Xenopus tropicalis: one gene and its partner. The protein of the gene in region 2 purifies or fractionates together with the protein of the main gene of each other region. This does not show direct contact. Links are inferred from orthologs where the notes say so. Each region holds a gene or a part of one and is shown on either strand. Other genes may lie near its edges.

Region 1 (3,653 bases), on a different chromosome or scaffold from region 2:
CAACAGTAAACAGTGACTGAAGTTTATCAGAGCACTAGTTATATGACTAAGGGCACCTGGGAAACTAAGAATATATCAAGCCCCACGTCAAATTTAAAACTTGAATACAAAAAAATCTGTTTGCTCTTTTGAAAAATTGATTTCAGTGCAGGATTATGTTAGAGAAGCGCTGTTAACTGATTAATTTTGTTTTATCTTGACAGAATCCCTTTAATGTAGAAGTGAACTTCAAGTTATTTTAGTCTCAGTTGTTGCTACAGTAGATATTTAAAATTTGTATCATGATTCTGAAAGTATTTGTTTATGAACAAGGTTACTGTTTGTGCCGAAACACCTACTATGGATGTTCCAGACTTAGCACCTGTCTCAGGGCTGTGTTTGTTGATTATGGTATCTGTGTTAAACTGTTTTGGCCCACCTACATGTATATCTGTACATATGTTTAGAACTTTTAGTTTATCTGTTTTGTTGATACGTATACTTTATAAGATGAACACAAAGAGGGAAAACTCCATGTAGAAAATGTTTTTATGGTAATATATTTATCCATACCTAATCTATTTCCTGCATAAGGGCCGAGTTTTTTTATTCTTTTTTTTTTTTCTCACCTTTAGCTGTATTATGCTACTCACTTAATTTTTCAGGATTCATTGAGGTCTGGCATGGTGCCAAGAGACTGGCGGATTGCTAATGTGGTGCCGTTATTTAAAAAGGGATCCCGTTCTCAGCCTGAAAACTATAGGCCTGTTAGTCTGACATCAGTAGTAGGAAAACTTTTGGAAGGGGTAATAAGGGATAGGGTACTTGAATACATTGCAGTTCACAATACTATTAGTTTGTGCCAGCATGGTTTTATGCGTAACAGATCTTGCCAGACTAATTTAGTCGCCTTTTATGAGGAGGTGAGCAGGAACCTTGATGCTGGAATGGCAGTTGATGTCATCTACTTGGACTTTGCTAAAGCGTTTGATACAGTACCTCACAGAAGGTTAATTATCAAATTAAGGAATATTGGCCTAGAACATAATATTTGTAATTGGATAGAGAACTGGCTGAAGGATAGAGTACAAAGAGTGGTTGTAAATGGAACATTTTCTAATTGGGCCAGTGTGGTTAGTGGAGTACCGCAGGGGTCAGTCCTTGGGCCTTTGCTTTTTAACTTGTTTATTAATGACCTGGAGGTGGGCATAGACAGTACTGTTTCTATTTTTGCTGATGACACTAAATTGTGCAAAACTATAAGTTCCATGCAGGATGCTGCCGCTTTGCAGAGCGATTTGACAAAATTAGATAACTGGGCAGCAAACTGGAAAATGAGGTTCAATGTTGATAAGTGCAAAGTTATGCACTTTGGTAGAAATAATATAAACGCAAACTATCTACTGAATGGCAGTGTGTTGGGGGTTTCCTTAATGGAGAAGGATCTAGGGGTTTTTGTTGATAACAAGTTGTCTAATGCCAGGCAGTGTCATTCTGTGGCTACTAAAGCAAATAAAGTGCTGTCTTGTATAAAAAAGGGCATTGACTCAAGGGATGAGAACATAATTTTGCCCCTTTATAGGTCCCTGGTAAGGCCTCACCTTGAGTATGCAGTGCAGTTTTGGGCTCCAGTCCTTAAGAAGGATATTAATGAGCTGGAGAAAGTGCAGAGACGTGCAACTAAACTGGTTAAGGGGATGGAAGATTTAAACTATGAGGTGAGACTGTCGAGGTTGGGGTTGTTCTCTCTGGAAAAGAGGCGCTTGCGAGGGGACATGATTACTCTGTACAAGTACATTAGAGGGGATTATAGGCAGTTGGGGGATGTTCTCTTTTCCCATAAAAACAATCAGCGCACCAGAGGTCACCCCTTTAGATTAGAGGAAAGGAGCTTCCATTTGAAGCAGCGTAGGTGGTTTTTCACGGTGAGGGCAGTGAGGTTATGGAATGCCCTTCCTAGTGATGTGGTAATGGCAGATTCTGTTAATGCCTTTAAGAGGGGCCTGGATGAGTTCTTGATCAATCAGAATATCCAAGGCTATTGTGATACTAATATCTACAGTTAGTACTAGTGGTTGTATATATAGTGTATGTATGTGAGTGTATAGATTGGTAGGTGTGGGTTAAGTGTGCTGGGTTTACTTGGATGGGTTGAACTTGATGGACACTGGTCTTTTTTCAACCCTATGTAACTATGTAACTATGTAACTGCATGTTTGTTTCTCTTATCTTCTCTCTATTCTAACCTGACTTCTTTCATAGGTATTGCCTTCCACTGACATGAGAAACCCGCGTCGTAAATTTCGTCACTGTGGTGGTGGAGGCAAAGGATCACCTTCCCCCTACAGTCTGAAATGCTCTCCAACTCGAGAGACATTAACATATGCTCAAGCACAACGCATGGTGGAAGTTGAGATGGAAGGGCGTCTTCACCGAATTAGTATATATGATCCTTTAAGAATTGTCTCGGAGGATGAGCTAACTGCGCATGATATTATAGAATGCAACAGCAACAAAGAGAACAGTGAACTGCCTCTTGCTTCCCCATGTCGAAAGATGGCCTTTAAAAGCAAAAAGCACGAGCTATGCCCTAAGCAAGCTCAAACCACCTCTTCCCTCCAGCTTCCCCAGCCATGTTTTAGAGTTATTGAGCCTTTTAGTCTGGAAGTTGAAAGTGAACCATATTCTTTACCTGATAGCTTCTATTGTTATATTGAACGTTCAACAAAAGAGATGGACCAGGAAGTTGAATATGACCTTGATGAAGTAGATCTGGCCTGGCTGGAAATGATCAATGAAAAGCGGAAGAATGACGGATTATCTCTGGTGTCAGCTGATGTCTTTGAACTTCTGTTAGATAGGTTGGAGAAAGAGTCCTATATGCAAAGTCGTCGCAGCGGTGCACCACAGTCTGCTATTGATGAAGATGCATTTTGTTGTGTTTGTTTAGATGATGAGTGCCACAATAGCAATGCCATATTATTTTGCGATATCTGCAACTTGGCTGTTCACCAGGAATGTTATGGTGTACCATACATTCCTGAAGGGCAGTGGCTTTGCCGATGCTGCCTTCAGTCACCATCAAAACCTGTAAGTTGTGTGCTTTGCCCCAACCAAGGTGGAGCTTTTAAGCAGACTAGTGATGGGCGATGGGCACATGTGGTTTGTGCTATTTGGATTCCAGAAGTTTGCTTTGCTAACACAGTGTTCTTAGAGCCAGTAGAAGGGGTTAACAACATTCCATCTGCTCGGTGGAAGTTGACTTGTTACCTTTGCAAACAAAAAGGGCGTGGGGCAGCCATCCAGTGCCACAAAGTGAACTGTTATACAGCTTTTCATGTGACATGTGCCCAGAGAGCAGGTCTTTTTATGAAGGTAGAACCTGTTAGAGAGACTGGTTTAAATGGCACCACGTTCACAGTACGTAAAACTGCTTTCTGTGAGCTTCATTGTCCACCAGGTACACACAAAAAAGGAATATTGAGATGTGGTGGCAAAGTAGACAATAAGGACAATGGAAAGGAGGATGAGGCCAACAGAGAGGACAGTAAATTTTCTAAGAAGGGAGCTGGGAAGAGAGGACGGGAGAAACAGAAGATAAAAAGAGAGCAGAAGGAGACTGTGTGTGGAAGAGTTTCTGCGCCAGTGATGACTGTTATGCAGATTCCTTCATG
Region 2 (4,396 bases):
TACAAGTGAGGGAATACAGGTGTAGGGGAGATAGCTCTCAGTACAAGTGAGGGAATACAGGTGTAGGGGAGATAGCTCTCAGTACAAGTGAGGGAATACAGGGGTAGGGGAGATAGCTCTCAGTACAAGTGAGGGAATACAGGGTTAGGGGGGATAGCTCTCAGTACAAGTGAGGGAATACAGGGGTAGGGGAGATAGCTCTCAGTACAAGTGAGGGAATACAGGTGTAGGGGAGATAGCTCTCAGTACAAGTGAGGGAATACAGGGTTAGGGGGGATAGCTCTCAGTACAAGTGAGGGAATACAGGGTTAGGGGGGATAGCTCTCAGTACAAGTGAGGGAATACAGGGTTAGGGGGGATAGCTCTCAGTACAAGTGAGGGAATACAGGGGTAGGGGGGATAGCTCTCAGTACAAGTGAGGGAATACAGGTGTAGGGGAGATAGCTCTCAGTACAAGTGAGGGAATACAGGGTTAGGGGGGATAGCTCTCAGTACAAGTGAGGGAATACAGGGGTAGGGGGGATAGCTCTCAGTACAAGTGAGGGAATACAGGGTTAGGGGGGATAGCTCTCAGTACAAGTGAGGGAATACAGGATTATGGGAGATAGCTCTCAGTACAAGTGAGGGAATACAGGGTTAGGGGGGATAGCTCTCAGTACAAGTGAGGGAATACAGGGTTAGGGGGGATAGCTCTCAGTACAAGTGAGGGAATACAGGATTATGGGAGATAGCTCTCAGTACAAGTGAGGGAATACAGGGGTAGGGGAGATAGCTCTCAGTACAAGTGAGGGAATACAGGGGTAGGGGGGATAGCTCTCAGTACAAGTGAGGGAATACAGGGGTAGGGGGGATAGCTCTCAGTACAAGTGAGGGAATACAGGGGTAGGGGAGATAGCTCTCAGTACAAGTGAGTGAATACAGGGGTAAGGGAGATAGCTCTCAGTACAAGTGAGGGAATACAGGGGTAGGGGAGATAGCTCTCAGTACAAGTGAGGGAATACAGGGGTAGGGGAGATAGCTCTCAGTACAAGTGAGGGAATACAGGGGTAGGGGAGATAGCTCTCAGTACAAGTGAGGGAATACAGGGGTAGGGGAGATAGCTCTCGGTACAAGTGAGGGAATACAGGGGTAGGGGAGATAGCTCTCAGTACAAGTGAGGGAATACAGGGGTAGGGGAGATAGCTCTCGGTACAAGTGAGGGAATACAGGGGTAGGGGAGATAGCTCTCAGTACAAGTGAGGGAATACAGGATTATGGGAGATAGCGCTCAGTACAAGTGAGGGAATACAGGATTATGGGAGATAGCGCTCAGTACAAGTGAGGGAATACAGGGGTAGGGGAGATAGCTCTCAGTACAAGTGAGTGAATACAGGGGTAAGGGAGATAGCTCTCAGTACAAGTGAGGGAATACAGGGGTAGGGGAGATAGCTCTCAGTACAAGTGAGGGAATACAGGGGTAGGGGAGATAGCTCTCAGTACAAGTGAGGGAATACAGGGGTAGGGGAGATAGCTCTCGGTACAAGTGAGGGAATACAGGGGTAGGGGAGATAGCTCTCAGTACAAGTGAGGGAATACAGGGGTAAGGGAGATAGCTCTCAGTACAAGTGAGGGAAAACAGGGGTAGGGGAGATAGCTCTCAGTACAAGTGAGTGAATACAGGGGTAAGGGAGATAGCTCTCAGTACAAGTGAGGGAATACAGGGGTAGGGGAGATAGCTCTCAGTACAAGTGAGGGAATACAGGGGTAGGGGAGATAGCTCTCAGTACAAGTGAGTGAATACAGGGGTAAGGGAGATAGCTCTCAGTACAAGTGAGGGAAAACAGGGGTATGGGAGATAGCTCTCAGTACAAGTGAGGGAATACAGGGGTAGGGGGATAGCTCTCAGTACAAGTGAGGGAATACAGGGGTAGGGGAGATAGCTCTCAGTACAAGTGAGGGAATACAGGGTTATGGGAGATAGCTGTTAGTACAAGTTGATCCAGGGACTGGTCCGATTGCCATCTTGGAGTCAGGAAGGAATTTTTTCCCCTCTGCGGCAAATTAGAGAGGCTTCAGATGGGGTTTTTGCCTTCCTCTGGATCAACTAGTAGTTAGGCAGGTTATATATAGGCATTATGGTTGAATGTGATGGACGTATGTCTTTTTTTCAACCCAACTTACTATGTTACTATGTTACTAAGGGTAATGGTGTCACCTGTGTGAAATTACCTTTTCAGTAGGGATATGCCATTAATTATAAACATTGGATTAGCCCTGTGCCTGCGGAGGCATGAATTCTATTGCTCAAACATGCTCAATGCAAGGGATTTTCAGTATTTTATCACAGCCACTTGCTAAAAGCATTCTCCATATATCTCAGAGTATTCTGTATCTCAGCGAATATGAGGCATGCAGATGTATTAAAGCGATAGTTCACCCTTGCATTAACTATTAGCTGATAAAACCCTATTCTTTTTAAAATGGTCATTAACCCCAGCAAGAAGTTGTATTCTACGTATCTTTCTATCCATGCCTCAAGTCCCTGGTTCGTAAGGCAAATGGGAACCTAACCACATAGCTGCCCGTTTCCAAAATGGAGAGCAACAGAAAAATGAAAATGATTTCTCTGTGAAATAAATTATACTCAGATGTACTTGTACGGGAATATACACCTGTAACACTCCATGTTATACAAACAGCTGAAGCAAAACACTGAATGTACCTCAATTAGGTTTCCATGCTTTCCAACACTGCTTCCTTACTTCCTTTGTTTATACCACGCCCTTAATTATCGGCAGCCTATAGAAAACCTTGCAGTGATCGCACAAACCAATCCAACGACGGACTATAGCGGCACCGACAGGAACAACATACTACAATAGCGACTGCTATTAAACCACCTCAACCAATCAGTAACGAGAGGAAGGCGGGACCAGCAAGTAATTGGCGCGCATGAGAATCAATGAGGCGCCAGTCCTGACAGACATAAACTGCGTCCAATCCACAGCTGCACAGAGCACATTTCAGCCAACCACAACATAAGATGGAACGCAAGTATCCAATCGCCGCCTCTCACGAGTTAACCCACAACAGGCCTTGGTTTGACTGTATCTCTCACATGGAGGCTGCTGCAGGCAAAGCAAAAATAGCGCCGTATGCTCTGCACAATAGCCAGTGCCTACACGCAGCATTCTTCCAGTGCAGTGTCCAGAAGAGGCCCACGCCACACCAGGGGCACACGCCCACCCCCATACGCAGCTTCCATTTTCCTATCCCATGCATCTCACCTTCCTCCGGGGCATCGCTTGGCGCTCCCCCCTTCTCCCTTTGATCCCGCCCAGCACAACCGAATTCGCGGTTGGCGCAGAACGGGCTTTTTCTTGCGCCGTCTCCGGGTAACGGCAGAATGACGCGCAGGCGCGGCCCCTCCCCTTGAGTCAGGTTTCTCGCCCTGTGCATCGCGTACGCACCCGGAGCCCCTCCTCCTCACCTCTCACTCGCTATTGTCTCTCCGTGGGAATAGCCCCGCGCATGCGCAGAACATGGATCTGCTCAGCCCGTTATACCAAAAGGCAGTCAACTGGCTCCTTGTGTATCCATGCGCATATATCTGCCGGAACTATATGTTCTTATATCGCAATATTATTGTATAGTTGGTGTCTTTTCCAGCCATTGATTCACAGAACCCTGCAGTCATAACTTAGAGCAAGAGAGGGGCAGGGCAAACTGAATTCCTGTGGGAACAATGTTGTTTATCCCTGGGATAGCACGTTGGAGATGATAATAACTACAATCTCTAGCATATTGGCTGCCAATATGGAAGCTCACTCGCAGAAGCCTATATTATCTTTAAAGTGAAATAATCATGTTTTCTTTCTTATTAATAATAAAAAATAATGACAACTTCTGGTATTTCTTAGTAAAATATTACAAGGCAATAGGTACTCTTGGCTCAAGGCAACAAGCACCATAGTGCCTCAGAAAAAAGCTCCTTGGCAACTGTCGCCAGTGTAACGGTGTGGTTTTACCCAACACACTTTCTTCTTTGCAAGTTTTAGAGTGGTTGTACCATGGTGCCTGGGCAATTGCTGCATAACATGTCCCCATTATAACTGTTTTTTTTTTTATTTTTTATCCCGAGGTCAATGCTTTCTGTTCCTAAGTGCAAAATCACATGTGCACAAAGGGTGCAAACTAGCCAGTCCTAAAATGGACAAGGCCACCATACTCGATTCCCACAGGCCAAAAGGCTCAGGTGAAAAAACGAGTCTTCGAGTCCTCCTTTGCTGGGGGGGGGGCTTAATCCCTGACCAAAAGGCTCCAAAGGGCAAGGGTCTTCGAACTCTTCTTCGCTTCATGGCTAGGGAGAGTGCCTTTCCCCTGGGGTCGGCCAACGCTACCCCCAAGGTTTCTTCAA

Evidence for each region.
Region 1: the proteins of kat7 (region 2) and brpf3 purify together in Homo sapiens (affinity purification with mass spectrometry; 3 studies listed by BioGRID and IntAct, counting the BioPlex papers as one, with this or other methods). This does not show direct contact. The link is inferred for Xenopus tropicalis from reciprocal best matches to the Homo sapiens genes KAT7 and BRPF3.

Annotation. Positions count from the first base shown.
Region 1 is NC_030678.2:65,006,013-65,009,665, forward strand, and holds part of brpf3 (bromodomain and PHD finger-containing protein 3), read left to right. Parts: intron 1-2,241; coding exon of another isoform or gene 2,242-2,259; coding exon 2,260-3,653. UniProt on the Homo sapiens protein: Scaffold subunit of various histone acetyltransferase (HAT) complexes, such as the MOZ/MORF and HBO1 complexes, which have a histone H3 acetyltransferase activity.
Region 2 is NC_030686.2:14,504,388-14,508,783, reverse strand, and holds the start of kat7 (histone acetyltransferase KAT7), read right to left. Parts: upstream 2,818-4,396; 5' UTR 2,702-2,817; intron 1-2,701. UniProt on the Homo sapiens protein: Catalytic subunit of histone acetyltransferase HBO1 complexes, which specifically mediate acetylation of histone H3 at 'Lys-14' (H3K14ac), thereby regulating various processes, such as gene transcription, protein ubiquitination, immune regulation, stem cell pluripotent and self-renewal maintenance and embryonic development.